Linked DNA regions of Macaca mulatta. The protein of the gene in region 2 purifies or fractionates together with the protein of the main gene of each other region. This does not show direct contact. Links are inferred from orthologs where the notes say so. Each region holds a gene or a part of one and is shown on either strand. Other genes may lie near its edges.

Region 1 (10,433 bases), on a different chromosome or scaffold from region 2:
AAACCAAAGCCAGAGAGATTAGGTCACCTATTCAATGTCACTGAGGAAGTAAAGTAGCAGAACCAGAATCCTACATCTAGGTCCTGCGCGCAGGCTCTGGACAGCTCCACTTACATCTGCAATGACCCTAAGATGCAAGTGGTACAGCCACTGTTTTACAAAAGAAGCAAATGAGGCATAAGAAGAGGAATGGGCCTGGCCACGATTATCCAGGAATCGGGCCAGATCAGAATGAAGAATCACGTCAAGCTAGAAGCCCTTGGAGGGCTTCTATCTAATCCCACTGTTGAGTGGCCAGGGACACTGCTGCACAGAAGGGAAATGCATCTTGCACAATGGCACCAGCTAGAGCATGGTGGGGCTGTGATTAAATCCCCTGGGAGCTGTTCGCCCCCAACACTCACAAGGATCCTCAGCCCTTAGGGTTTTTTCCTAAGAGAGGGGGCTGTCCCCACAATGCTCTGTGGTCCCAGCCACAAGAATAGGCTGATGTCCCTGCAGTCAGCTCACCTGCCATCTGGATCACCAATGGTGTCCCAGTTCTGGGCTCTTGCTGTCAGGGACTTTAGAGAAGCTCATCTCTCCTGTGAAGCAAGGCTTTGTGCTGCTTTAAAGGAGATGGGGGTGGTGGGAAGTGAAAAAGCATCTCTTTTAGCTTCAGATAGACCTGGGATCTAATCTGACTCTGTCACTTTCCAGGTGTATGAGCCAGGACACGTCATTTATCTCCCTGGTCCTCATTTTGCCTCATACATAAAGTGAGGCTGTTGGAAGAATTTAGTGAAATAAGTCTAGACACCAAACCTTACATCAAAAGGATCTGAGAGGGCAACCCTTTTGAGGGAGGGGTTGACAGGTGTTGCAAATTCAAAGCCTTCAGGTGATAGTCCAGTGAGGAATACATGTTTCATAGCTGGGGCTCAGACAATAGGGAGTGGTGGGGCCTGTGGCTGAACCGGCGAGAGCAGGCTCTGCTGAGCAATGGTCAAAGTCAGTGTCATCCACAGCAACGCAGAGCCTGCCATGCCCCACAGTGCTCCTTCTACTCCAGATATGCCCAGACTTCGGACCATCAATCTGCAGCCCCCTAAGTAGAACCTGCTGTCTACACAGATGGGAAAACTGAGGTCCTAGCTGAGGAGAATATGCCTGGCAGCCACATAGTTAACTACTAGTCACAAAAGTAAAATCATCATCTTAACAAAATACAAAGAAAAAGGTGTCCTTGAATTTGGGAAATGAAACACTGGAGAAAAAAGTTGGAAATAACAAATATTGAGATTCATTGACCCCCCTGGACTGTTAAAAGTTTCTTTCCAGTAAAGCAACAAAATGAAGCCTAAAGCTGGTTTCTCTCTACCACCTTTCTCCTGGCCCTCTTGCCTCTAAGTAATCCAAATGGAACGGACCACACACTACATAATACATGTTTGTATTTTTCTTCAACTAGCTAGTGTTGTTAGAACTGAAGACGGTGCTAAAATTAGTGCTGTATATTTCCATCTCCCTTAGGTTTCTCTTTCACTTCCCAGCTGGATTTTGTGCAGTCCTTCATGGTTTATGGAAATTCCCCCATCATTACAGGGCTCAGAGGGCAGGAGGGAGTTGGGCCTCTGCAGGGTGGGGACACTAAATACGCTGAGTGGCCTTAGGGCCAGAAGTTGTGGCTTCTAGTCCTGGCAGGGCCATCACTATCCATTTGGCCTTGAGTAAGCATCCCCTGGTCCTGGGGCCTCACTCTCCCCAGTTGTGCAAAGTGGGGCTGGGAGAAGACCTCACTGGGGACCTCTGTACGCTAACATAGGATTTTTTTTTTTTTTTTTTTGAGACAGAGTCTCGCTTTATCCCCCAGGCTAGAGTGCAGTGGTGTGATCTTGGCTCACTGAAACCTCTGCCTCCCGGGTTCAAGCAGTTCTCCTGCCTCAGTTTCCCAAGTAGCTGGGATTACAGGCACATGCCACCACGTCTGGCTAATTTTTGTATTTTTAGTAGAGACGAGATTTCACCATGTTGGCCAGGCAGGTCTTGAAATCCTGACCTCTTGATCCGCCTGCCTCGGCCTCCCAAAGTGCTGGGGTTACAGGTGAGTGTCACTGCACCCAGCCAGGATTCTTGGTTAGAATGGCATCTGGGTTCGATGTAGCAAAACAGATGGAGAAGAGGCACCCTCCTAGACAGGAGGCTGCTGGGCTCGAAGGAGGTGGCAAGGCTGGTGCAGGGAGGGTGGAGAGGGGGTGACAGCTGGGAGGAGCACAATTCCCCACACCCATCCATCTTTCCTGGCGTCACATCACCTCCTCTGGTTTCCTCCTTTCACAGTGAAGAGTTTGAAGCCCAGAGAGGGTCAGGGCCTTGTCGAGGCCATACAGCAAGTTGGTGACAAAGCTGGAACAAGTCTTGGCTTTCCCAGCACTCAGATCACGGACTGAGACAGCTGTGCCCTCAAATCTCAGATGATGAATGGCAGAATTGGGCTCTGACATTGGTCTCAAGCATCGTGTTGGGTTCATTATGCCTCCCAAGCTGTTCCTCATAGCATCAGGACTCCAAAACCTGCTCTCTCCCGGCCCTTCTATCAGAGGCAGCACCCTGCACCCTCAAAAGCTAGTGCCTGGGAGGGCGGCTGGAGAGGAGAAAGTAGATGGTCAAGTACCCCATGGTGTATGGACACTGAGGCCAAGCTTTAAAACAGAAGAATGAAGACTTCATGGTGACATTTCTGGAACTGGGGCAGGTGGGAGCACCCTTTGCAGGGCCAGGGAGAGGGAAGCAAGCCACTTCCTGCCTAATCTCACACCATTTCTACCCGGGAGCATAAAATAAGGGACCAAGAGCAACCCAGCAGGGTGCAGGGAAGAGAATCTCGCCTATGGTCAAACGACCTGTTGAAATGGGCAATAAATAAACCCAAGTGTGACCAGGCCCTGTCACTTACTGGCAGGGGGCCCGGGGTAAATGACTTCACTTCTGTGAGCATTGGCTTCAGAGCTATACAGTGGAGAAAAGAATCCCTTGGAGAGAGATGAGGAATAACTGACGTAATGCGAGAGTGGGCACCAGGTGCGGAAGCCGTCCCTGTGCCTGCACAGAGGTTGAGCTCCTGCCCGAGAGATGGCAGATTTCTTCCTGCCAGCTGCTGCGCTCCCCAGGACCCATTTCAGCAGGAGGGGGCTCCTGCTCAGCAGTGAACAGCATCTGAGTTTGGCCAATTTTCCATTAAATTCTCCAAGTATTTGTTTACTGCCTGCTAGCTGCCTAACCTATGCTAAGCAAACATCAACCTCAGTGTCACCATCATTGCCACACTTACTAACACCAGGCGATTTACAGGCACTGTATCATCTAATCTGTCCTCAAAGCTTACCCTATGAGGTGCAAATGATTAACCCTATTTTATAGACAGAAAAATTGAGGCCCAAAGAGGATTAAATAACTCACTAAAAATCACAGAGCTACTTGCTTACAAAACTGAGATTTAATCCCAGATGTTTTGTCTGGGATTAAACAGATGTGACTGCAAAACCTGACATTTAATCGTCTCTGTGTACAAAGCTGGAGCCAGAAGTCTTGAACCAGAAGATTTCAGAGGTGGCCTGGCTAAATGAAGAGGGGCAGCCTCAGTTTGTGGCTAGAATTAGAGGCTCTCAGGCCAGATTGCTCCAGATCAACTTGCTATTAACTGTGTGACCTTGGACACGTTACTTAACCTCTCTGAACCTCAGTTTCCTGGAGATGAGAAAGGTGGACTTTGTCATAGAGTTATTGTGAAATTAAATATGCACAAAATACCAAGAAGTGCCTGGTGCACAGTAAGTTCTCAAGAATACCAGTTCTTGCTGCTAGTGCTGCAGGTCTTTTAGAGGCGTTCTATGGGAAACTGGCCAGCTTGGCCTTGGTCAGCTTTTTGACCCCTGTCTCCAAACTCAGTGCAGGAAAAATTAAATTCTTCCAACACTCCAGAGATCAAGGTCGGGTGGGGTGAGGGGAGGGGACAGAGGTCAAAGGTTATCATGTTTTGCCCAAGAGAACAGAGAGGTTGAGCAACTGTCTGAAGTCACCGAGCATCAGAGAGGCCTCAAGTCCAGCCCAGGCTTCCTGTTCCCCATCCAGCGCCTGAGACCTGAGAGAAACGGTGAGCACTAGGGCCAGGCTCAGGATTTCGGGGCCTGGAGCCAGGTGCCTGAGCCCAAATTATGGATGGTGTGTGATTTGGGGCCAGTTATTAACCACTCGGTCCCCAACTTCCTCATCTGTAAAATGGGAATCACCCTGGTAACTGCCTTGGAGGGTTATGAGGCTTAATCGTGCACAGAGCTTAGCCGTGGCCTGGCACAGAGCGATTATTCAGGAATGCCAGCTTGAACCCTGGGTGACGGTGCCCCTCACAGCTTCCTGTCCTCCACTGGGACAGGAGGGCCCAGAGGTCCACAGTGCAGGGGGAGACCCATCTTGATGTAAGGCTGAGACCTGGCACAGGTCTGTTCCTGGCCGTATCTGGAGGGGATGGAGAATGTGAGCCGGCGTTCCTCCTCACCCCTCCCTGAACCTTAACCTCCTCATCCATAGAAGGGGAAAAAGATGCGTGTCCAAGTAGTAGGAGAGGTGGTGAGGCTTACAGGAGACAACAGATAGGAACCCCCTGACAGACACAGGAGCTGCACAAACAGAAAGAAATGGCTGCGCTTCCTTGCTGTTGCTGTATCTTGGGGTGCCAGGACCGCGGAGCTAGACACCCTCGTGCACTTCTGCTTACAAAAGCCAGTGTATCCACCAGTAGGTACTGAGTGGGGACCGGGCAGGACTGGGAAGCAGGACACAACCCTCATGGCTGCTGTTATTACGACAATAGGAGCCCAGCTGCAGCCCCTCCATCTGCCCGGCACCTCAGCGGGCGGATACCCGCTCCACAACCCCCCTCCTGCCCCAGACCTGCTGCCTGCCTGGGCCGTGGGGGACTCAGAAGCCTCTCCAGAACCTCTCGCAGTGAAAGGCATACTTACGATTCACCGTCCCAGGTCAGTGGTGGTGCCTGAGGCTGAGGAGACAGAGCCCTGTCCTTGTCCGTATTTAAGCAGTGGGTGCAGAGGGGCAACGGGGGAGGCTGCTGGTGAATATTAACCAAGATCACCCCAGTTACCGGAGGAGCAAACAGGGACTAAGTTCACAGGCTGGGCGCTGAGTCGCCCGCCCACGCTGTCCGGACGCTCTGCCTGAGCAGCATACAGCCTCCACTGCACGTACCAAAAGGAGTCATTGTACCTGGCTCAGAAACCAGTGTCCTGCGTCCAAGGTGGAGGGGGTGGCGTGAGTCAGCCAGTCGCTGGGAGAGTACCACTTTGCTGGCCCTCTGCTCTCACTGCAGAATCCTTAGCGGCTGTTCCACTGGTAGCAAGATCTACCATTTACTAATTCACCCCGAAATGCCTGATGCTGAAGACTGATGCCGCCCTGGGAGATCAGAGTGGGTTAGAGCCCATTTGACAGATGAGGAAACTGAGGCTCAGAGCAGAGAGGCCGCTCATCCGAAGTTACCCAGTCAGCCTTAGACACAAAAACCCTCTTGATTGTCCGGATGGAAAAATGGAGCATGACTGAGGCAGACACAAGCGTCAGGCCGGCATGGGGGACCATGAGACAGGGTAGAGGTGGGAGAGCAAATCTGTAAAGAAGCGTGATGCTGTCTCAGGCAGGCCGCTTCACCTGTTTGAACCAGGAAGTGTTTCACCTGCATCCTAGAGAGTTGGAAGTCTCATTCCCAAGCATGCTTGTGAAGTGCCTTGGGTGAAGTGCCTGGCACACAGTAGACTCTTTATGTGGGTCTGCACAGCCCTCTGCTTAGCCTGCCCCGCAGGCTGCTCAGAGCAGGAGGGGGTTCAATTCTGACCAGCCTCAGGCCTGTTTCTGTTTCTGCTCCTGGAAAATCAGTGTGATGCGTATACAGCTTGGATTTTCTTTGGGAATACGGCCCCCATCCTGGGGTTGATGGAGGTCTTTGGGGACTACTGGGGATGGAAGGGAGGGGTGGTACAGGGTTGAGGCCAGTAGGGCCCCACTTGATTGCAATCCCTTTAAAAGCCTAAATCAGATTGCATCACCCTTTGTGCAATGTGCAAACTTGCTTGGGAGCTGGCGTACGTGCCGTGGATACTTCCAGAATTAATGGATGAGTGTGTTTTTTGCCCCTTCTGTCATTCACCAGTCCCACTTATGCCTCCACCTTGGGGCTCTACCAGGTGAGTGACCCACAGGATCCTCCAGCACACATATTCAGACCAGGGAACCCACTTACTGGCTGTGAGGCCTCAGGTGAGTTGTTTAACTGCTCTGAGCCTCAATTTCCCCATCTGTAAAATGGGGACGGTGACGGTATGTACCTTGTTGAGCTGCTGTGAGGATTAAAATGCAACAGTTCAAGGACAGCTCAGAGCTGGGTGCTGGGTGTGCCCGGAAAGTCCCTTCTGATGCTGTCCTTCCTCCCCCATGTCAGGGGTCACTGGGGTGGGGTGGGCCACATTTGAAGAGCTTTCCTCCAGGCAGTCTCATTCAGTTACCCTGTGAGGGGAGTAGGTACCACCCTCTTTTCAGGCAGTGGGAAACTGAGCTCAGACTCCCCTCCCCTTCTCTCTGAGCTCTCTTCCCTGCCAGCTCCATGCCTTGGCTTCAGGGCCCCTGTCCTTCCCCTGAGCTGGCTGAATGGATATTCTGCTACTCTACGTCTACTCACAGCTCCAGTGCTGGGCTGTGGTTGAGGTCGCCTGCCCTCGGTACCTCCTGGGCATTTCTTCCCCTCTCTGAGCCTTCATTTTCCCATCTGTGCCATGACCCCCACTCCAAGCCCCACTGTCCCTCCCATCTGTGGAACAGAGTGAGCAGCAGCAGCATTGTTCCACCTTTCCTGCTCTCCTCAAGCTCCGTCTCCTCTGGCAGGCACAGGAGAGTGGCCTGGGGGCTGGCAGAAGGTTGCCGCCCCTCCTACCTGGAATTCCTGGCAGCAGCAGTGGCTAGGCCTTCCTCAGAGTGCCGATCCCCTCCTCCTCCTTTGCTCAGCTCAGTACTCTGAGGGTTGCTGCGTGGAGGCAGTGCACGCCCTGGGCACAGGGCCCAGTTCCTGCCCACCCAGGAAGTTGGCCTCGGGTGGCGGGTGGCGGAGGCAATAGGTTGGGGAGGGGCGGGGAGCTTGGGCAGGAAGGGGCCTTGCCCATTGCCAGGCAGACACAAGACTGGGCCCTCATAAACTCAGAAAGCCCTGCATATCACCTGTTCTACCCGCCCTGTCAGCTCTGTGACCCAGGACGAGTCACCCTCTCCCTTTGAGCTGCCGTAAAAGGTGCAGTCACACTGCCCAGAGGATTACTAGAAATGACAGGCCTTGCCCTTCTGGCACAGACCTGGCACCAACATCTGGCAGGTTTCTGGGGCCAGTTGCAGAGGGAAGAGGACTGAGCCACCTATGACATGCCCAGTGGGCAGCCCTGCGGCTGGGCAGGTCTGTGTGCACTGGGGAGGTGTGTGTCATAGGACCTGGCTGGGTGCAGAAGGGATTGCAGTGGGGAGCTGGGGCATTTGGAGGAGGAATGAAGAAAGCATGGGTGGGAGCAGGTGGGGCAAGTAAGGGGCTCAGAATTTGGGGTCCTGTTCTTTTGGTTCCAGGGCTCTAGGCTCAGCCCTTGCCCTGCTCTGGACATCCATCCTGGGAGGAAGGGCTGGGATGATCTGGGAAAATGCACCAGGACAAAACCCCGGGCGGTAGGGGGAGGTGGGAGCACTCAGTGGCCATTCACAAGGACACTGTGACCCCAGGAACCCCAGGACACGATGGGGAAAGTCTTGTCCACTCGGTTACTTCCAGAATTGTCTATTGCAGCATCTGGGCTGATCCCCTCAGAGGAAATGCGTCATGGGAAGATCCTGTGAGCTGGTAATGAACAAGGGGCATCTGGGGAGGCCCTGCCCCATCACAGGGCCCTGCCCGGAGATGGGAGCCTCGTGGTATAGGCTGGATAGGGATGTAGGAGTCAAGATTTGGGGTCTGCAGCAAGGAAGTGGGTAAGGGGGTAAGCCTGGCCACAATGTTGGCCAGGCTGGTGCCAGTGGCCTTGGGCCAAGTAAATCCAGACTGAGTGACTGGTCAGGAGAGCAACAGTGGACTTCAGGGGAGCTGAACTCATTGGCAAAGTGCCCCGAAGAGTGCTGGCCACCCCACAAACACACACATGCACCATGCACACCCTCGCTCTGCACCCTCCCTCCCAGGCACCAGCTTCCTTCTTTGGGAGGCAGTGCAGGTCACTGGTTAAAGCATGGGCTCAGGATCTAACATCTGGGGTCAAGCCTTAGCTCCACCGCTCTTTCTGTGAGCTCTTAGACAAGCCACTTAACCTCTCTGTGCCTCGGTTCCCTCATCTGTGAGATAGGGAGACTCTTAGAAGAGTCACTTCCGTTAGGATTGTGAAGATCAAATGAGGTAATAACATTTAAGCACTTCGGGCAGCCTCTGGCATGGGATGGGCCCCAAGTCAATGCTAACCACCAGAAGCCACAACCTTTGGGGATGTGTCCTCGCTCTGAAAAACCTTATAGACAGGTCTCAGGGGTCTAAGTGGGAGAACAGCTGCTGCGTTTGGCCCCAGACTTGGTGAGCAGCACCTGTTGTTGAGGGATACCTCCTCAGATTCAAACTTCCATTTTTTCCAGAAAGAGGCCGTCAATCCGCTCTTTAGGGGCTCTGCTCATTTTGGCTTCCTGAAGGTGCATCTGCATCTTTCTGAGCACCTGTGACATGCAGAGGACGTGGGGTGACTGGAGCTAAGCGGACTTGGATCTGGGGGAGGGCCTCAGTTCTCTGAGAATTGGTTTCCTTATCTGTAAAATGGGGATAAAAGTCTCTTTCCCACATAGTTGTGAGGCTTAAATGAGGCGATGCTGGTGGGGTATTTAACACAGAGCTCTGTTAGCATAATTGACACTTGTGTCTGTCTTCCTTTAACTCATTTAATTGGTGGGGTTAGTTGGGTGTTCGAAGTTTATCTTCCAGGAGATGAATGAATGAAGTTTGCACCATTTGTTTACCTCCTTGAGGGATCTTTCAAATTAACCAACTTGCAAAACCCCAGCAGACACACTTTCCTTCTCTGTGTCACCTCCTGAGCCACTTCCTGTGTGTCGGGGGGGTGGTGGATTTCTGCTTTTTCTGGAACTATTTGGCCTACTCACAACTTCTTGTTTTTCTTCTTCTTTTTTTGAGACAGAGTCTCACTCAGTCACCCAGGCTGGAGTTACAGTGGCGCAATCTTGGCTTACTGCAAACTCCACCTCCTGAATTCCGGAATTGCAAGTGATTCTTGTGCCTCAGCCTCCAGAGTAGCTGGCATTACAGGTATGCGTTACCATTTCCAACTAATTTTTATATTTTTAGTAGTGGTGAGATTTCATCATGTTGGCCACGCTGGTCTCAAACTCCTGGCCTCAAGTGATCCTCCTGCCTCGGCCTCCCAAAGCGCTGGAATTACAGGTGTGAGCCACCATGCCCGGCCTTTACTCTTTATCCTTACTTAGACAGAGAAAAATAAGGCAAAGCTGTACCTTGTAAGGGGCAACATAGTTAAAAGAAGGAAAAAAAATGCATCTATAGCTTCATCCCCTTCTTGTTAAAATTAATAAAACTAATGTTTTATTGCAACTAACCTTTTCTGAACTTTATTTTAACTTTACTCTTTTGAGGTTATGGGCCATGATGGTCATTATGGATTGGAAGATTTAAGAGACGAAATGTGTCCTATTGAACTATAATTATGATTTGATTTTAGATGGCCAACTTGTCTCATTTTGGTCAGTAGGAACCCTTTTAAGTTATCTCTTTATCCCTTTGACAATCTCTGCTGATGTTTCAGCAACACACACTTGCTTTCTGACAAGGCCACCATGTTCATGTTCCAGGTCTGTCTTCATTTTCTCTTGCCCCGAGACACGGCACTGGGGTATCTTCCCTGGGAGAGGAAGTGAACAGGCAGTGACAGAGGCCTTCCGGGAACCACAGGCAGGGCTGAGTGTGCAGGACTCACTCTTGCATGGGGACTGTGGGAGACCCAGCAGGACTTTAAGGCTTATTATTCAGAAATACATGCCCTACGTGGGTGGCTTAGATAACAGAGAGCAATAGGGCTCTTAATTTGCCCAACTCTGGCCTTGGCTTCAAATGGTTCGATTTACCCTGTTGACTCCTTCATGTTGACTTTGAGCATTTCTATTTGCTTGATTTTAACAGGTCTCTTGCTTCCATTTTATAATATAAATCTCCAAATACTCCAACGGTGGTATGCCACCCCCTGAATCGTGGCTAAGAGTCCTTGCACACGTGGCCTCTGCCAGGCCCTGTCTTAAACACTTCATGTGCATCACCTCACTCTATCCTGTGCAGTGGGCACCACTGTTAT
Region 2 (9,421 bases):
TTTACCCATGATTTTGCCCAAGGAAGGGTAAGTTAGCTTGTTAGTCAGCAATTTTAAGCATTTTTATATTAAATACTATGGATTAGCCATTTTACAGGACTGTTCAGAGTTAAAATGAGAGCCTTGAGGTTTGTATGGTCCCAACCCCCTGGGAGTTTGTGCTCTTTGTCTGCTTTTAGGGTTTACTGAAGTAGGATGCTAAGGGCAACAGCTTTGATTTTTGAGACAAACTTGGGTTTGAATCTCAGTCCCCTCAGATAGCAGTTTTTATATTGGGAAAGTCACTTAATCAAGCCTCCAGGTTTCAGTCTGCAAGTCTGTAAGTTGTGGGAGAAACCACTGTCTCACAAGACTGCATGAGGTAAGATACACCGTTGGGAAGCACATAGTGGGTTCTCCATAAGTAAAGCTAGCTGCCATATTCCTGAAGGTGGGGGTAGGAGAGCAGGATTTTGATGAGCTGAGAGGAGATGCGCACACACATAGAAGCATGTAATAGTCGTGTGACCATTCTGTCAGTGAGGCAAAAAGGCTGTTGAAGAAGGGACCAGTTAAATCACCATCTGGGTGTCACAGCCTGCCTGACAATCACGCCTAATCTCATATCAGGGATATGCAGTAATAGCTTGCATTTAAAAGCTTTAAAAAAACAAACAAACCAAACCCTTTCACATCTTGCTAATTTTAATGTTTTGCAGTTCTGTCATTCTTCTAAGGGATCAATGAGGGCAGTAAAACTTGAGCAGGCCTCCTCTTTCTCCCCCTCCTTTTATAGGGTAGGGGTATGTTTTTCAAAGACTTTTCAAATTGTGAACTGTAATTTACAGAGATATACCATATTGGTGGTTGTGGTGTGTGTGTTTTTCTTTAAGAGAATAAAAGGAAACTTGTTTCTCTTCTGAGCCTTGAATTGCCTTCAGGCTAAAAAAACAAATGACCAATCTGGTTTCTAATTATCAAAGGACATAATAACAGCAGGTTTGGCTTTCTGATCTAGGTTTATCAAGTAGGATGGCAGATGCATCAATTAAAAAAAGCTTGGTGCTTTTGGGGGGCAGCCAACAGTTACTTTACTTTAAATGGCCATATTCTAACTTAACGGCTTGTAGCTACTTCTCAGTTGTGGGCAACACAGGATACAAGATTCTAGTGGCAAAATCAGCAGAGCCCTGGAGCCTGCCTTCCACTTGAACTTTCTCTGTTGGTGGAAGTCCTTCTGCTAAATTTTGCATAAAGATCAGATGACAAAATATAGCTCCTTGCAAAAGCAATAACTGCTTTGAAATTACCATAAATTTTTGTTGATTATGTATAATTGGGTATCTTTTTATACTAATTATTTGCATTTAATTTCACTATCTACTTAATCAGTGGAGATGGCTTCCATATTGTCTTAGAGTGAGTAGCAAAGCAAGACAGCCCTAGCATTGCCTTCTGTAAGTGTTCTATTTTATCATGTACTTTGGAGGAATATTATTGTACCAGAAGGCATGGATGTTGAGAAACCAGCACTTGGAAAATACATTTTGATTTAATGGTAAAGCTGTATTTGTTTAAAATGGAGGAGGTGAGTATAAGAAGGTATAACTACCTTTCTAAATGGAATGCTGATACATTCGTATCACCATTTTCCATTCCATTTAGAGTACTTATATCTTCCCTGTACACATTAAATTTTGTGTTTAAAAGGGGTTGTTGGCCGGGCGTGGTTGCTCACGCCGGTAATCCCAGCATTTTGGGAGGCCAACAGGGGCGGATCACGAGGTCAGGAGATCGAGACCATCCTGGCCAACATGGTGAAACGCTGGCTCTACTAAAAATACAAAAATTAGCTGGGCATGGTGGTGGGCGCCCGTAATCCTAGCTACTCGGGAGGCTGAGGCAGGAGAATCGCTTGAACCCAGGACGGGGAGGTTGCAGTGAGCTGAGATCGTGCTACTGACTCCAGCCTGGTGACAGAGTGAGACTCCGTCTCAAAATAAATAAATAAATAAATAAATAAATAAATAAATAAATAAATAAATAAAAAAGCGGGTTGTTTTCTGTTTTGGGAAGAGGCATGAAGGTATTGAGTATGATGTAAACAGACTCCAGTCACTGACTGCTGTTCCCAGGCAGGAGGCATGTAGTATAACAAGTAGTGCAGGGTGCAGGCTCTGGAGCCAGGCTCACTGGGTTGGAATCCTGTCACTTTTGAAGCGCTTCACTCAGTGTTGGCTCAATTTTCTTGTTTATAAAACAGGAGTAATAGTAATGCCTACCTCATGGGGTTGTTGTGAAGATCAAATGAATTGATAAGCAGGCAGCACCTGGTGTAAGGTAATGCTCGCTGAGTAAGTTCACAGAATAGCTGCTCTTGTATGAGGTCAAGTATAAAGCCTGTCCTCTTCAGGGTTTCTGCTGTGGACAAGTCACTTGTCATGACTTACTCTTGCTGCCAGGAAGGGTTTAAGCAGAGGTATCAGATCATCCTCTCTGCCTTCAAGCAAAATTTTAAACATTAGGATCTGCTAAGTGGAATAGGTTTAAACACATTCTCAGTTCAGTAATAAAAGAGTCAAGGATGGGAAATAGTTGGAAAATACTACTGAGAGTGTAGGCTTGAGTTTAAATTCTCTTAGCTGTTCTGTGAACTCTTAGTTTATTAATTTTAAGGTGGGAAATCATGTAACCTTCTGGGGCCCCAGCTCTCCCACCATCCGTGAGAAGGGAAGAATGTACCTGGAAGGCAGATTCTGAATACATTTTAAAACATACCCATACTTCCAACATAGAAAGCCTTCTTCCCCCGTCTCCTTTGATGGGCTCAGCTGAGAGCCTTTTAGAAATGCTGTGCAAGGCTCAAACACGCAGGCTGTGGATTTGGCCTTTGAAAGTGAATGTATTTTGTATCCTTTGATCCAGTTTGAGCCGTATTTAGATATACCAAGATGCTATCAGTCATTCTTTGGTTGCTGGGCTTGTGGGTGTAATATTTTTGTTTCCATACTGTTCTGCATGGATTACTTTTATAAGCGGAGAAAAAAACGTTCAGAGTGTGAATTTAGCTGAAATCTGAATACATTTAAGAAACATGAAAAACGAATGCCTTCTGTGGTCAGGTCATGGAGCTGAGTACTGAAAACACAAAGTTAAATAAGACATTGTCCCTCATCGCCTTCAACATGACAAGTGCCATGGGAAGAGCAGGAGAGGGAGGTGTTCTCGGAGGTCAGATAACTGTGTGGAAGTGACTTTGTTCTCTTCTCTCCCTTTGTGTCCCCGTCTTTCTGCACCAGGTACCGCTGGCTGCCCAGTAGGAGAGGAGGAGTATCAGGATTTGGTGTGCCCCCTGCTAGCATGAGGCGAGCTGCTGATCAGAACGGCGGAGGCGGGAGACACAACTGGGGCCAGGGCTTTCGACTTGGAGACCAGTGAAGGGGCGGCCTCAGGCAGCCGCTCCTCTCAAGCCACATTTTCTCCCAGTGCTGGGTGCGCTTAACAACTGCGTTCTAGCTAACACTGTTGGACCTGACCCACACTGAATGTAGTCTTTCAGTACGAGACAAAGTTTTTTAAATCCTGAAGACAAATACAAGTGTTCCACAAGTTTCCCGATTCTCATTCAAGTCCTTACTGCTGTGAAGAACAAATACCAACTGTGCAAATTGCAAAACTGACTACATTTTTTGGTGTCTTCTCTTCTCCCCTTTCCGTCGGAATAATGGGTTTTAGCGGGTCCTCGTCTGCTGGCATTGAGCTGGGGAGCTGGGGCTGGGTCACCAAACGCTTCTCAAAAGGACCCTTATCTCTTTCTTGCACACATGCCTCCCTCCCACTTTTCCCAGCCCCCACATGTGCAACTAGAAGAGGTTGCCCATAAAATTGTTCTGCCCTTGACAGGCTCTCTTATTTATTGACTTTTGCCAAGGCTTGATCACAACAATCATATTCACGCAATCTTCCCCTTTTGGTGGCAGAACTGTAGCAATAGGGGGAGAAGACTGAAGCAGCGGATGAAGCGCTTTCTCAGCTTTTGGAATTGCTTCGACCTGACATCCGTTGTAACCATTTGCCACCTCTTCAGATGTTTTCATGAAAAAGTACCACTGAGTCAGTGAGGGCCACAGATGATATTAATGAGATATGAGGGTTGTTGCTGGGTGTTTTTTTCCTGAGTTAAGTGATCAAGACTAGTGGAGTTGTGTCTAACGCAGGGGTTAGGTTTCAACCATGGGGGATGCAACCCCTTTGCGTTTCTTACGTAAGGCATACTGGCTTTGTGTACCCAGAGTAGTTGGGTTGCTTTGTGTTAGGAGGATCCAGGTCATGTCGGCTACAGGGAGATGCTCTCTTTGAGAGGCTCCTGGGCATTGATTCCATTTCATTCTCATTCTGGATATGTGTTCGTTGAGTAAAGGAGGAGAGACCCTCATACGCTATTTAAATGTCATTTTTTTGCCTATCCCCCATTTTTTGGTCATGTTTCAGTTAATTGTGAAGAAGGTGCAGCTCCTCTCTGCACGGAGATCATTTTTTAAAGTTAATATAAGCACAGCTAAGGGAATAACATGATTTAAGGTTGAAATGGCTTTAGAATCATTTGGGTTTGAGGGTCTGTTATTTTGAGTCATGAATGTACAAGCTCTGTGAATCAACCAGCTTAAATACCCACAACTTTTTTTTCGTAGGTGGGCTTTTCCTATCAGAGCTTGGCTCATAACCAAATAAAGTTTTTTGAAGGCCGTGGCTTTTCACACAGTTATTTTATTTTTTGACGTTATCTGAAAGCAGACTGTTAGGAGCAGTATTGAGTGGCCGTCATACTTTGAGGCAACTAAAAAGGCTTCAAACGTTTTGATCAGTTTCTTTTCAGGAAACATTGTGCTCTAACAGTATGCCTATTCTTTCCCCTGCTCTTAAACAGTGTGATGTGTGTTAATCCTAGGAAATGAGAGTTGGCAAACAGCTTCTCATTTTGAATAGAGTTTGTGTGTACCTCTCCATATTTAATTTATATGATAAAATAGGTGGGGAGAGTTTGACCCTTAACTGTCATATGTTTTGTTGTTGATCTGTGGCCACAATAAAGTTTACTTGTAAAATTTTAGAGGCCATTATTCCAATTATGTTGCATGTACACTCATTGTACAGGCGTGCAGACTCACTGTATGTATAAGAATATTCTGACGGTGGGTGACCCGGAGTCTCCGGTGTACCATCTTACCAGTCAGCTGCCTGCGAGCAGTCAGTTTTTTCCTAAAGGTTTACAAGTATTTAGAACTCTTCAGTTCAGGGCAAAATGTTCATGAAGTTATTCCTCTTAAACATGGTCAGGAAGCTGATGACATTATTGATTTTGTCTGGATTATCTTTCTGGAATAATAACAAGCTATTTGAGTTTTGACTTGGCAAGGCAAAACATGACAGTGGATTCTCTTTACAAATGGAAAAAAAAATCCTTATTTTGTATAAAGGACTTCCCTTTTTGTAAACTAATTCTTTTTATTGGTAAAAATTGTAAATTAAAATGTGCAACTTGAAGGTTGTCTGTGTTAAGTTTCCATGTCCGTGCTCTGCTGTCTGTTAGATATCACATAATTTGTGTAACCAGTCATCTCTTGAAGAGCATTTAGGAAGTACCCAATATTTTTTGCTGGATTAATTTCTGGACGCAGAATTCCTGGGTTTTCATTTTAATGAAGGAGGATGCTTCCTAACTTTGAGTGAGGAGTCATACCTGCTTGTAGCATGCTTTATGGCATTTTTATAGCTTCTACTTATGAACCTGAGCCCTGGAACTTTATAAAATTAGATTAATCCCATTTCCTCATGAGGCACACACAGACTACCCCCCCCCCTTTTTTTTTTCTCGAAGGTGAACTCCCAGTCTGTATCTTGGGCCTTCGGCAGGCCAACTTCACTCATCACAAGGTGAGGTGACAGGAATCAGGCTGTATGTATGTCCCTTTTCTATTACTGGGCAAATACTGAAGCAATAGAAAAAGATCCTGCTTATTGAGAAGGACACGTTGCCAGTATCACTGTGTTCTAAGCTACCTTTTGAATGACACTGATCTAATAATAGGCAGTGTTGCAGTTGCCAACATCTTCGTTTGTTGCCAACTCTGTTTGTGAGGTCCCTGCCCCTCTTACACTTTCAGCAGTAACTTAACACTCTGAATAACTAACCTTTGGAAGAAGTTACTCCTTCCTGGACTTTATACTGTTTGTATCTTAGAAGGCTGGGCTGAGCAAATGGGTTTATTGGCAGTTCACTTGTTCGCCTTCCAGAGTGACTGGTGATCAAAATCGGCCAGAAATACCATGTCCCGTGTTTACTTCTTTCTTCAGTCCTTCATACCCTTCCCTCCCTCCATACTTTCCCTCCGGGTCCCTCCCTCCCCCTCCCTCCCTGCCTCTCTCCCTCCCTCCCTCTCTCTCCTTTCTTTCTTTTTTGAGATGGGATCTCACTCTGTCACCCAGCTGGGAGTCCAGTGGCATGATCTCAGCTCGCTGTAACCTCTGCCTCCCAGGTTCAAATGATCCTCCCACCTCAGCCTGCTGAGTAGCTGGGACCACAGCTGTGTGCCACCACACTCGGCTAATTTTTTGTATTTTTGGTCGATACGGAGTTTCACTATGTTGCTCAGGCTGGTCTCAAACTCCTGAGCTCAGGCAAGCCACCTGCCTCGGCCTCCCAAAGTGCTGGGATTATAGGCCTGAGCCATGGTGCCCAGCCTTTCCCATGATTTATATGTGTGGTTTAAGCCTAGGCTCCTTCCTATATGGTCCCCTTATCTCACATCAGCTCTGCTTGTTCCAGTAGGAACCCCATGTTCAGGGGCACACCTGGGCACTGAGCAGTAATGTGCCAGGTACTTTGTGAAAAAGCCTCCAGCTTACGGTTTTTAAAATCTGGCTATACACAAGCATTAAACTTGAGATTTTTTAAAAAATGCAGTTATCTTGGCTCATTCCCATTCTACGTATTTTTGAGGTTCCTAGTGATTCTGATGTTCACTTGGATTTGGGAACTTGTGTTTAAACAAACTTGTGAAATAGTATTATCCCCGTTTTCCAGATAAGGAAACGTAAGCTTCAAATCTCTTGATTAAAATCAGGCAGCAACCAGGTGTGGTGGCTCACGTCTGTAATCCCAGCTGTTTGGGAGGCCGAGGTGGGTGGACCTCCTGAGGTTGGGAGTTTGAGACCAGCCTGACCAACATGGAGAAACCCCGTATCTACTAAAAATACAAAAATTAGCTGTGCGTGGTGGCATTTACCTGTAATCCCAGCTACTCGGGAGGCTGAGGCAGGGGAATGACTTGAACCCGAGAGGTGGAGGTTGCGGTGAGCTGAGATTGTGCCATTGCACTCCAGTCTGGGCAACAAGAGCAAAACTCCGTATCAAAACAAAAACAAAAACAAAAAACAACAACAAAACAAATAAGCTAGAAGGTGCCAAAGACAGGATATGAACCCAACTCTGAGTAGAGACCTCTGTTGCGGCTTTTCAGTGAAGGAAGCCAAAGCAGATGCAAATAGACAATGTCTCTGCCTTCACGACGTGTCCTTTCTACTGAGGCAGTCAGCTGGGCCCATTGTAGGGACTCATATTTGTTGAATAAGCAAACAAGTCATTATAATACAATTTCACCAAACTACCAGAGTAAAAGGAAGTAAATTTCTTGGATGAGAGGCTAGGTCTTGAAAGATTGATGGAGAGTTCTGGTCAAGATGGGGGAAGTCACTCATTCTAGCTGGATTTAGAAACAGCAGCAGCAAGAGCAGGAACTTTGGGGAAGACAGAACTGTGTGCCTGGACCTGTAGAATACAGGCAGGGAGTGGCAGGGAAAGGGGCTAGAAAGATAGATGGGGGCTTATATCAGGAAAACTTGTGTGTGATTGCTTGGACTTCAATCTGTGGGCAGTGGGGAACGTTGAAAAGCCTTCATGTTTGGTCTTTAAAAAGTAGCTGGCAGGCCAGGTGCGGTGGCTCATGCCTGTAATCCCAGCACTTTGGGAGGCCGAGGTGGGCAGATCACAAGGTCAGGAGATCGAGACCAACCTGGCTAACACGGTGAAACTCCATCTCTACTAAAAATACAAAAAAAAAAAAAAAAAAAAAAAAAAAATTAGCTGGGCGTGGTGGCGGGCACCTGTAGTCCCAGCTACTTGGGAGGCTGAGGCAGGAGGATGGCGTGAACCCAGGAGGTGGAGCTTGCAGTGAGCCGAGATAGCGCCACTGCACTCCAGCCTGGGCGACAGAGTGAAACTCTGTCTCCAAAAAAAAAGTAGCTGGCAGCCAGGTGTGGTGGCTCACGCCTGTAATTCCAGCACTTTGGGAGGCCGAGGCGGGTGAATCACCTGAGGTCAGGAGTTCGAGACCAGCCTGGCCAACATGGCGAAACCCTGTCTCTACTAAAAACACAAAAATTTAGCTGGGCCTGATGGCAGATGCCTGCAATCCCAGCTACTCGGGAGGCTGAGGCAGGAAAATTGCTTGAACCTAGAAGACGGAGGTTGCAGTGAGCCGAGATCGCACCATTGCACTCCAGCCTGGGTGATAAGAGTGAAACTTCCTCTCAAAACAAAAAACAAAAAAAGTAGCTGGCTGCCTCTGGGGAGTAGAGGGAGAAGGCTGGGAAGAGGAGAAACGAGGTAAGACGACCAGGTTTTGTACTGGTTGCTGTGATGCAGGTTTAAGGGAAGAGTTGGTTTAAACCAAGGCAGTGGGATTGGGGACTGGATCGGAGGGACCTCCCTGACAGAGAATTACTGGCACTCAATGAGGAAGAGGAGGGTTTTCTTGAAGGGGTTTCCATTGGCGACCAGGGCTTGGATCTGTGTTTCACACACAAGCTGGGTAAAATGCTATTTCTGGCTGTTGGTGCCGCAGCCATTGTAGATAATTAGGTGCTGGCATCCTAACCTGGAAACCTAGCCACTATTCGCAAGTATATTTCTGTGGAAAAAAACATTATGAGCTCCAAATCCATCAACTTGAATGAAAATGAACTTTTAAAATATGATGTCTTCCTGAAATGGGAACAGCTTTGCAGAAGGCCCCAGTGAGGAAGAAGCAATTCTCTTGATTGTATCACCAGCCTTTAGGGCCCAGTTTAAATGTTATTTCATCAAGGAGAGGGCTATTAGACCTGCAGGCAAGGTGAAATGTCTCCTCACATAGCCCCCGGCACCCTGATCTCTGCCTTGGACACTTGTCCCACCTGTGATCATTTGCTTAATATCCCTCCCATGGTTTGTAACCATCCTCAGGACAGGGACTGCAGCTTATTTACAGCTATTTCCCAGTGCATAGCACAGGCCTGCCACATACAGGTGCTTAAGTGTTTCTTGCACTGAACTGAAATTTGGCCTGCGTAGGAATTTGTCCTGCTTAGGGAGAGAGCTAATAATGGCCAAGTCTCCCAGGAT
Region 3 (10,701 bases), on a different chromosome or scaffold from region 2:
TGTACCCGCCTCCCAACCAAAGGGTTTTTTCCTCCTTATTCTGAGCAAAGCACGCCATGCGCACAATTCCACCTCTAAGGTGGCTCCTCCAACAACCCCAGGCCATTCTCCAACTATGACAAAAGTTTGGTTTTAATATCGGGCCACACAAAACACAGTATATCACTTCAGAGTACATTTTATTAAATATGGTGTCATTTGGCTACAATAGGTTTGTCTTTATAAAACTAAGTTACTTCTTTTGTAGTAAAAACAACCCCAACCCACTGCCCCTCTTTGGCAGCCCTTAAAACTCAGGATCGGCCGGGCGCGGTGGTTCACACCTGTAATCCCAGCACTTTGGGAGGCCGAGGCGGGCAGATCACGAGGTCAGGAGATCGAGACCATCCTGGCTAACACGGTGAAACCCCGTCTCTACTAAAAATGCAAAAAATTAGCCGGGCGCGGTGGCAGGCACCTGTAGTCCCAGCTACTCAGGAGGCTGAGGCAGAATGGGGTGAACCTGGGAGGCGGAGCTTGCAGTGAGCTGAGATGGCGCCACTGCACTCCAGCCTGGGCAACAGAGCGAGACTCCATCTTAAAAAAACAAAAAACAGGCCGGGCGCGGTGGCTCAGGCCTGTAATCCCAGCACTTTGGGAGGCCGAGACGGGCGGATCACGAGGTCAGGAGATCGAGACCATCCTGGCTAACACGGTGAAACCCCGTCTCTACTAAAAATACAAAAAACTAGCCGGGCGAGGTGGCGGGCGCCTGTAGTCCCAGCTACTCAGGAGGCTGAGGCAGGAGAATGGCGCAAACCCGGGAGGCGGAGCTTGCAGTGAGCTGAGATCCGGCCACTGCACCCCAGCCTGGGCGACACAGCGAGACTCCGTGTCAAAAAAAAAAAAAAAAAAAAAAACCAATAAACAAAAAACTCAGGATCAAGGCTAGGTCTGGCTCCCAGCCACAGCCCTTGCTGCCTTCACCTGCTGAGTGTTCCAGGAAGCCTCCCAAATCCCAAGGGTCAGGCCACCTGAGTCTATCACCTCTGTGTGAAACAGCCAAGCCCAGGGGCTTTGGGGCCGCAGGTGTGAGGCCTCTCCAGTAGCCACGGCTGTGTCAGGGCTGTGCCTGGGGCCTGGCCAACGTCTCCCCTCCCCTTGAACCAACAGGAATTGGGCAAGACACTCACCCGAGCCTTGACCACATGGGGCGTGTACCCCCTTCTGAGCCTGGGATACCCTGGGGGAGTGGGCAGCCTGTGCTGCACCCTGGTGGGCTTGTGTTCTGGATGTCACTATGGCACTTTGGTCCTCAACCCCCACCCCTACCCAGGAGTCTGAGGCCTCGGCCTTCCCTGGACTTGTTGGGCAGCAGAAGGCACCAAGGACAGGATGAGAACCCCTGAGGGGCAGCCCCACAAATGAGGGCACTCTGACCTGTCCTTCCATTGCTACCCCACCCAGGAATGGCCCTCAACTGGCCACAGCCACCAGGAAGCCCCAGGACTGCTCCCACACCACAGCGGTGCCCTCTTCTCTATCCCACCCTTGGGACCTACCCAGGGTTCTCCAGGCAGCCAGGGGCCAGCTCCAGGACAGGGCAGGAGAATGCAGATCTGGGTCTGGCATGTAACTGAGGGGGGTGTGCTCCAGGGAAGTAAGGCAAATGGCCCAGGTGACGACCACCTGGGGTAGACCCAGGGTCTCCAGGGAATGGCTCGGGGGCAAACGCTGTGTTCTGTGTGTGCAGGATCTGCCCCCAGCAGCAGGAAGGGGGCAGAAGGGAGGCGAAGAGGAGGTACCCAGGACTTGTACCCTGGCTGCCAAGCAGGGTGGGGTGTTTTCATGAGGATTGCTTTTAACCAAAAGTCCTCAGCCTTCTGCAGACCCAGGGCAGAGGTGAGTTGCTCCAGATCATGTGCTTTAAGTAGAGCCCTTTACCAGCCAGGAGACCCAGCCACCCCCTTCCCCGCCCCGTGGCTGGGGGGACACAGAGTCACCTCAAGGCCCCAGCCCACTCAGCGCACAGTGCACACATCCAGGATGCAGAAGCGTGCGCGGCAGGTGGGGCAGGGCACGCGGCTGGCCAGCCAGGTGTCAGGGCGCAGGGGGTCCTGGCGGCTGGCGAACCACTTGCCCATGCAGGTGAGGCACCACATGGGGCGGCAGTAACACTGCTGGCACTCGCCTGCGGCTGCCTCCTGACAGGTCTTCACTAGCTTCACACTGGCACGCGTCTGCATGCAGCCTATGCAGGCCTCCAGCTCCTGCGGGCAGGTGGAGCGTCACCAGGAGCCCAGGCAGACACCTGTGGGCACCCACCCATCCACCTGGCCCAGGCCCCCACCTGGCTGCTGGGCACTGAGTAGGCCGGGTTGACCTCTACCAGGGAGGCAAATGTCTCCAGGAACAGGTCGCCCAGGCTCTGGTGGATGACCACGTGGGCTGCCCTGCGGATGGGTGCCTGGAGTTTCTCGCAGAGCTCCCCGTACTCAGTGGAGTTCAGCCTGCAGGGAGGAGAGCTGCTGGGGCCCTCTGCAGGGCAAAGGGAGGGGGAGATGGAGGCCATACCCCAAGGAGTGACAGGGCAGCTGTCGCACCAGGACCAACCAGGAGAGATGGCCCTAAGGCCAGAGCCCAGGGACCCAGTGCCAGACGGCCCAACCTGGGCATGGGGCAGACCTAGGAGCAAGGCAGCTGTCCAGCCTGAGGGCTGCACTGTCCTGAGTGCTCCCCAAGAATCTGGGGGAGACGGCTCCAGGGAGAGTGGAAGGGGAGGCCAAGAGTGCAGGGGGGCCCGAAGGAGGGCTATGCGGGAGGGCTCAGTGACGGGTGTCTCGTGGACACCTTGCCTGGTGTCACACAAGCCCATGAGTGCTGGAGTCCACACCGGCTACGCCTAGCACCTCCCAGGGGTCATGGCGCCAGAGCCTGGCTCTGGCCTGCCGCGTGCCCTCTGCACCCCCGCAGGCACCACACTCTTACCGGATGTCAAAGGCCTGCACGGCAGGGTTGGCGCTGGCCACACGGATGGTGAGGAGCTGCACGGGCAGGTTCGAGTCTGGCGAGAGCTCGTGCTGCCGAGACTCCGTCACAGTCAGGTGCACGTCCTGCTGCTGGGCCACATGCACTCGGTAGGTGGTCACCTTCATCACCCACACGTCTGTCACAATCACACGGGCACCTGGTGCGCCGGTGGCAAACTTGTCAATCCGCCGGAACTCAGTGTTGATGGAGGAGGCAACAGCCTGCCAGCCGGACTGTGGGAGGGCATAGAGTGCCAGGGTGCGTGCCAGTGGGTGGCGGGCCCACTGGTCACGGGACCAGTAGTAGATCAGGATGCAGGCGACGGCGGGGAGGGTCACGGCCAGCAGCAGGAAGAGCCGCCAGGCGGGGGAATGGAACCGCTTTTCTGAAGCCGCAAGGCACACGCCCACATAGTAGCCTGCAAAGGACAGGGTGAGCCTCAGGAGAAAGTGGGTGCCAGGCCGCTGTCCACCCCCACACAGCCCTGGGCCCGGCCCTCTGCCCGGGTTCCAGGGTCAGCTCCCAGGGTAAGTGGGTTTTACCCACTCTGCACTTCCCTAGCCGGCCCACTCTGTCCCTGCCTGTGGCAATGGCAGGATATATTAGGGGAAAAGGTTTTTAATTTGCTGCTTTAGTTTCACACATTATGTAAATATTGAAAAAACTACAAAAGCCTAGAAAGAGAAAAATAAACACAATGAAGTGTCCCCTCAGGCAGAGCTGACCCCTGGCCTGCCCAGGGCAGCTGCTTGGACAGGATCTCAGTCTCTCAATCTCACCAGCTCTGAGAAGGCTGGTCAAACGTGGCCCATCCCAGAGCTGAGAAGTTGTGTGTGAGAAAGGAAGCAAGTGTCAAAGAATGATGGGACACGTCCAGAGGACACAAGGCCAGCTTCAGGGCCCTGCTGGCCAGATCGGGGACAATTTGAAGGTCCAAATAAGCAATGGAGACGGTGAGGAGTTGCACTAGCAGCTTCCAGTTGGCAAAAAGTAATAGTCCACATTTGGAGTTGGCCCAGTCACTGCATTTCAAGGTAATGTGACATATAACAATAGGTTACTGGGGCTGGGTGGCTCACGCCTGTAATCCCAGAACTTTGGGAGGCCCAGGCGGGCGGATCACAAGGTCAGGAGATTGACACCATCCTGGCTAACACGGTGAAACCCCGTCTCTACTAAAAAATACAAAAAAATTAGCCGGGCCTGGTGGCGGCGCCTGTAGTCCCAACTACTCGGGAGGCTGAGGCAGGAGAATGGTGTGAACCCAGGAGATGAAGTTGCAGTGAGCCAAGATCGTGCCACTGCACTCCAGCCAGGGCGACCGAGTAAGACTCCGTCTCAAAAAAATAAATAAATAGGCCGGACGCTGTGGCTCAAGCCTGTAATTCCAGCACTTTGGGAGGCCGAGACGGGAGGATCACAAGGTCAGGAGATCGAGACCATCCTGACTAACAGAGTGAAACCCCGTCTCTACTAAAAAATACAAAAAACTAGCCGGGCGCGGGGGCGGGGGCCTGTAGTCCCAGCTACTCGGGAGGCTGAGGCAGGAGAATGGTGTAAACCCGGGAGGCAGAGCTTGCAGTGAGCTGAGATCCGGTCACTGCACTCCAGCCCGGGCGACAGAGCGAGACTCCGTCTCAAAAAAAATAAATAAATAAATAGGTAACTAATACCTAATAAAGCTTGAAAACTTTCAAACTAAGTTAAAAATAAAAAGAGCTTGACATCCAGCTGTGAGGTCAGCTGTGCTGTCTGCTTCAGGTGTGGCCTCCATGATTCACTTGTGGTCCCTCACAGGCGTCTGGGGAGGGTGCAGTTGGAAGGGATACAGAAACCCACCCAGTAGGCCTCGAAAGCGGCCTGGTCAGGGCCCTAGCCCCACTCAGCCCCATCCATTTCCCAAGTGGGCCCCCAGCCTGAGGCAGGCCTGGGCGTCTCCACCCCACACCTGCCTCCAGCTCCCCCGGGCCCGGGCAGCTGCATGCTCACACCGGGATGTGGAGGGTCACCCCTCTTGTTTCCCCAGAGCGGCAGACCTGGCCAGCCACTGGCCATTTGTCCTCCCAGAGCTGCGTCTGCCCCTGTGTCCTCCAGAGGTCCCCCCTTGAAATCCCTTTCCAACCACTGCACCCCCCATCTCCCACCTGTCTGTCATCCAACTGGCTGAGACGGGGACCTTCCAGAGCCCCAGTTACCACCTGGGGCCCAGCCCAACACCCCCCGGACAACTCTGAGGGTCCCACCTGCACAGAGGCCCTCCTCAGCCTCTGCCTCTGTGGCGCCCCCAAACTGGAACTGCCTCCAAATCCGCCCGTTCTCCCCACACCCACCTTCCAAGGCCTAGAGCAATGCCACCCTCCACACAGTCCCTCCGACCCCTTCTGTTGGACTCAATCAACAGTTGCCTTCTCCTGGCCACTGCCCGCAACCACGACAAGCAAAGGCTGCTTGGCCTTGGAACCCCCAGGCATGTGACGGTTCAGGACATGGTGAGCCGGGGCATCCCCTGCCCAAGGTTCTGTACTTGGGTTCCCGTCACCTGCAAGCCAGCGCCGGCGGCGCCCCTAAGCGCGCTCAGCCCACGCCGCGGTCCCTCTGGATGAGGACCGGCGCCTCTCCCCAGCTGCGCCCAGGCGCTTTCGGGGCCTCGGCGAGCTGGCGGAGGCCTCCTCCTGACCTCCCAGCAAGCCCTGCGCAGGAGAGGACGCGGCTGGCCGGCCGGAGCAGCCTCACCGAGCGGCAGCAGCGAGTGGCACAACAGCGTGGCGGCCGTGCGGCGCAAGTGGAAGGGCACGAAGGCGGCGTCCTCGCTGCCCAGCCAGCCCGACAGCAGGTTCTGCACCGTGAGCCCCGCCGCGTGGAACTCGTTAGGCGTGAACACAAAGCACACGGCGAACACCAGATAGGCGAGAGTGAAGGTCACCTCGGGGCTGTCCATCGCGCCGCCGCCGGGAAGCTGTCCGGCGAGGACCCCGCCCCCGGCGCGGGGAAGAGGCCGCAGCGCCCAGACCCCGACGTGTCGGTTGCGGCAGCCGCCACCCGGCCGCCCGCGGGGCACTCTAGGAGATGGAGTCCCGCCGCCCGGCCGCCCGCGGGGCGCTCTGGGAGATGCAGTCCCCGTGAGGGTGCGGCCTCTCTTCAGGGCCCGCCCTGGAGGCGGCACTGCACCTGGTCTCAATGCACAGCTGGGGAAACTTAGGCCTGAGCCAGCGGCTCTCAGTCCCTGGCCACGAAGCCCCGCCCAGTAGCGTCAGCTGCAGAACCCGAAATTCGTGCGGCGACGGCGAGCCGGCGGTCTCAGCTTCAGACACCCCCGGCAGGCCCTCCACTCCGGAAACGGAACCGTCGGCGCACGGGGGGGCGGGGCCGGCGAGACACAGCTTCCCATTGGACCCCCACCCTCCTACGGTCCCGCCCCCGGCCGCGTGCTGATTGGCCGCGCGAAGGCAACCGTCGGCGTTTGAAACTCGGGCGCGCCGGCGGCCATCAAGGGCTGGAAGCGCGGCAGCGGCAGCAACTAGGCTCGCCCCCGGCGCGGAGCAGACGCATATCCAGACCCCTCCTTCCTGGCGGCGGCGGCGCGGGCTCAGAGCCCGGCAACGGGCGGGCAGGCAGGTAGACGAGCGTCTACACGGCACGGGGAGGCTGGGGTCCCGGGGGCGCGAGGCCGTCCCGCCCCGCCCTCGGCCCTCGCCTTCCCGCCCTGGCCGCAGCTTTCCCCGGGAAGCGTCCCCCACGGCTTCTTCCCGGGCCGCCGGGGCCCGTCCCGCGCCCTGTCATGGGACCCGGCCCTAGACCGACCACCGGGCTGGATCCCCTGGGCGGTGGCCGGGGGCGGCTAGGGCTGGGCCGAGCCCGACGGCGGAGCGGGCGCCCTGAAGTGCTTTGTTCTCTTCGACCCTCTCCTGCCTCTCGGCCGCCCACCCTGGTTCTTTGTTGGCTCCCAGCTCGCAGACCCTCTTGTGGTTCTTTGGTCCCTTCCGGCCTCCGTCCTGGTGCCAACTCCATCTGGGCCACCTGTGGCGGACACCTGGGCCCCGACCGCTTCCCCGCACCTGCTGCGCCGCTCCATCTTCCCCCGCGCCGCATCCCACTTGTGCACCAGAGTAGCATCAAAGCACCGGCCTGGGGCCGGTCCCTTCCCTGCCCAGAGCCCCTCCCGGGGCTCCATAGTCGGTAAAGGCCCCTCCTGACCAAGGCTGGGTCTGCTGCTCTCCCGCACTCCTCCAGGCCGCCGGAAGGCTTCCTCCGAGTCACTTTCTCCCTGAGTTCCAGGCTTGCGTGTCCCCCAGTGATCCAGCTGCCCTTCCCCTGCCCTGTACCCAGTTATTCAGGCCAAAAACCTAAGCGTCGTCTGTAAGTCCCATATATGCCAGTGGCCAGGCCCGGGTCTGGTCTGGCCTCTACTCCTCGGGCTGCAGAAGCGTGTGGTTTCCCTGCTTCCCTCCTGCCCTTACTTCCCTACCCACACACAGCACCACAGTGGGCTTCTCAAGCTGCAGCACCGACCTGCCCGGGCTGCCCCTCTCTCTTCTCCAGGACCCTCCCCAACTTTGCTCTTTTTCAAATCAAAGCCTTCCCAGGTCCCCCACCACCAACAGGTGCCCGTGGGGTTCCTGCCCAGGTCGACACTCGGTTCTCTCTGGCAGCCTTTCTGCCTACGTCATTCCCTAGACTGGGAACGCTGTAGACAGAAAGGGTGGCAAGTGTGTGGGTGACTGGTGTGAGGACCTGGGCGGCCCTGGAACCTGGGACTGACTGGAGGCCCTGATATGGAAGCTCCTTGGCACCTGCTGCTCAGCTCTGGGCGTCCCTTGTTCGCCTACTGTCTCCCAGCTCCTCCTCTGGGCCTTCACCCCAGCCTGGTCTTGTCCCGCTGCCTAGCCCGGTGGGAGAAAGCAGACCAGAGCCGCTGTCCTGCTTTTCTGCCCTCTGCTGCCCGGTCCTGCCTCACGCCACACGCGGAGGCCGGTGGGGAGACCGCGGCTTCCTCTGGCTCTTCTGGGTTTCTTATAGGCCAGGGCTTTCCTGTCTCCTGACTTCTGCCTGACGTGGTAATACAACAGTAGAGATTATGCGGTCTTGGTTTTTCTTTCTCACCATCTTAGCCTGAAGGCCCTTTAGCTCTTGGTCCCAGGAGGCAGCGGTGCTGCCCATGGCTCCCGGTGCCAGGCTGGAGAGTGAGTCTCTGAAGCAGGATGGGGACTCAATCGGAGGCTTTCTCTGCCCCACTTGGCAGAGGACATGTGTGGGAGGTGTGAGCTCCAGAACAATGAGCACACCTGTGCCGGAAGGGGTCGTGCTCCCTGCGGCAGCTGTCATGTCTGTGTCTGGACAACATGGTTGTGTTGCCCTCACACTGACACAAACATGTTCTGCTTTTCCAGAATGAGTCTGCAGGTCTTAAACGACAAAAATGTCAGCAGTGAAAAAAGTACAGAAAATTGCGACTTCCTGTTTTCCTCACCAGAAGTTACCGGAAGATCGTCTGTTCTTCGTGTGTCACAGAAAGAAAATGTGCCACCCAAGAACGTGGCCAAAGCTATGAAGGTAAGTGTGACCTCTACAGTGTGTGGCTAGCCAGGTTGCCCTAGGACCTGCTTTCCTGGTGACCTCTGAGCTGCAGGACACTGCTGGTGTGGCTGTAACAGCTTGAACTAATGAATGGGTGCTCTCCTCCTCACTCCACAACAGGTGACTTTTCAGACACCTCTGCGGGATCCACAGACGCACAGGATTCTAAGTCCTAGCATGGCCAGCAAACTTGAGGCTCCTTTGGCTCAGGGTGATACCCTTGGACTGGAAAACTGTCACCCGGTGTGGACTCAGAAAGAGAAGTAAGTGTTCATGCTACTGGACATGCTGGAGCTTCACCCTCTCTGTCCGATGGCTCTTGCAGAAACGTGCTGTCCTGTTCTGTCAGGCCTTGGCTGGAATTTTTTTTTTTTTTTTTTTTTGAGATGGAGTCTTGCTCTGTTGCCCAGGCTGGAGTGCAGTGGCACTATGTCCACTTACTGTAAACTCTACCCACCCCAGGTTCATGCCATTCTCCTGCCTCAGGCTCCCCGAGTAGCTGGGACTACAGGCACCCGCCACCACGCCCGGCTAATTTTTTTGTATTTTTTAGTAGAGACGGGGTTTCACCGTGTTAGCCAGGATGGTCTCGATCGCCTGACCTTGCGATCCACCCGCCTCAGCCTCCCAAAGTGCTGGGATTACAGGCGTGAGCCACCGCGCCCGGCCGGCCTGGCTGGATTTCTCCTGAAATCTGCACTGAGTGTATGCAGCATGTGGCCAGTTCACTAACAGAAAAGTCGACCATCAGATACTTGGATAACTTAATACTTCACTCCCCCCCACCAGTTCACTAACAGAAAAGTCGACCATCAGATACTTGGATAACTTAATACTTCACTCCCCCCCACCAGTTCACTAACAGAAAAGTCGACCATCAGATACTTGGGTAACTTAATACTTCACTCCCCCCCACCCCAGAGATGGAGTTTTGCTCTTGTTGCCCAGGCTGGAGTGCAGTGACACGATCTCTGCTCACTGCAACCTCCGCCTCCCATGTCCAAGCGATTCTCCCACCCCAACCTCCCCAGTAGCTGGGATTACAGGTGCCCACCAACACCTGACTAATTTTTGTATTTTTAGCAGAGATGAGGTTTCTTCATGTTGGCCAGGCTGGTCTCGAACTCCTGACCTCAGGTGGTCCACCTGCCTCAGCCTCCCAAAGTGCTGGGATTACAGGCATAAGCCATCGCGCCCAGCCCATACTTCACATTTTTGCTGGGCTTTTGCCAACCAATTGGCTTCGATCTTTGCTCCTCTAATTTGATGAAATGTCTTGGCCCCATCTCCAGGAAGGCAATCCATAGTTTCATTTATCTTGAATTCCGCCCACCCTATTAGGACTTGGAAAGAGCAGATGGACTTGTAGGCAAAGAAACCATGTTGTGTGATCCACCCCTCAGAGTGTGCATGGTTGGAGGGCTCTGCCAGGCGCTGGGTGTTGGGTTAGGCTTGGCATTGGCAGTCTGCTGTCCGACCTGATGCTTAACTGCAAGCGGATGGCAAGGCGGTGTCTGTCTTTGCCTGGAAAGGGAGGACCCTGGAAGCAGCTCTTTACTCTGTGGCTGAACTAATCGGTCTGGGCACCTAGGAACACCTCATCTGCATCCAGGGTGGGAAGGGACCCCAGAGGCATGATTTTCTGCTGGTTTTTGCTGATGTAACTGTTGTTGCTGTTTTGAGACAGGGTCTCGCTTTGTCACCCGGGGTGGAGTGCCATGGTGCCATCACAGCTCACCGCAACTTTCACCTCCTGGGCTCAAGCAGTCCTCCCACCTTGGCTTCCTTAGAAGCTGGGACTACAGTTGTGAGCCACCATGCCCGGCCAATTTTTTTTTTTTTTTTTTTTAAAGACGGAATTTTTCTTGTTGCCCAGGCTGGAGTGCAATGGCGCGATCTCAGCTCACCACAACCTCCATCTCCCGGGTTCAAACGATTCTCCTGCCTCAGCCTCCCGAGTAACTGGGATTACAGGCATGCACCACCACGCCCAGCTAATTTTTTGTATTTTTAGTAGAGACAGGGTTTCTGCATGTTGGTCAGGCTGGTCTCAAACTCCCGACCTCAAGTGGTCTGCCCGCCTCGGCCTTCTAAAGTGCTGGGATTACAGGCATGAGC

What was found.
Region 1: the proteins of DERL1 (region 2) and SERPINA1 purify together in Homo sapiens (affinity purification with western blotting; 4 studies listed by BioGRID). This does not show direct contact. The link is inferred for Macaca mulatta from reciprocal best matches to the Homo sapiens genes DERL1 and SERPINA1.
Region 3: the proteins of DERL1 (region 2) and TMEM129 purify together in Homo sapiens (affinity purification with western blotting; 3 studies listed by BioGRID). This does not show direct contact. The link is inferred for Macaca mulatta from reciprocal best matches to the Homo sapiens genes DERL1 and TMEM129.

The regions. Positions count from the first base shown.
Region 1 is NC_133412.1:167,661,656-167,672,088, forward strand, and holds the start of SERPINA1 (alpha-1-antitrypsin), read right to left. Parts: upstream 7,082-10,433; 5' UTR 6,891-7,081; intron 5,449-6,890; exon of another isoform or gene 5,001-5,448; intron 607-5,000; exon of another isoform or gene 511-606; intron 1-510.
Region 2 is NC_133413.1:133,432,863-133,442,283, reverse strand, and holds the end of DERL1 (derlin-1), read left to right. Parts: intron 1-3,278; coding exon 3,279-3,417; 3' UTR 3,418-5,516; downstream 5,517-9,421. UniProt on the Homo sapiens protein: Functional component of endoplasmic reticulum-associated degradation (ERAD) for misfolded lumenal proteins. Forms homotetramers which encircle a large channel traversing the endoplasmic reticulum (ER) membrane.
Region 3 is NC_133410.1:1,832,469-1,843,169, forward strand, and holds TMEM129 (E3 ubiquitin-protein ligase TM129), read right to left. Parts: upstream 6,246-10,701; 5' UTR 5,948-6,245; coding exon 5,743-5,947; intron 3,428-5,742; coding exon 2,968-3,427; intron 2,490-2,967; coding exon 2,330-2,489; intron 2,250-2,329; coding exon 2,001-2,249; 3' UTR 163-2,000; downstream 1-162. Other genes in the region: TACC3 (transforming acidic coiled-coil-containing protein 3), read left to right, coding at 8,398-8,559, 8,704-8,846.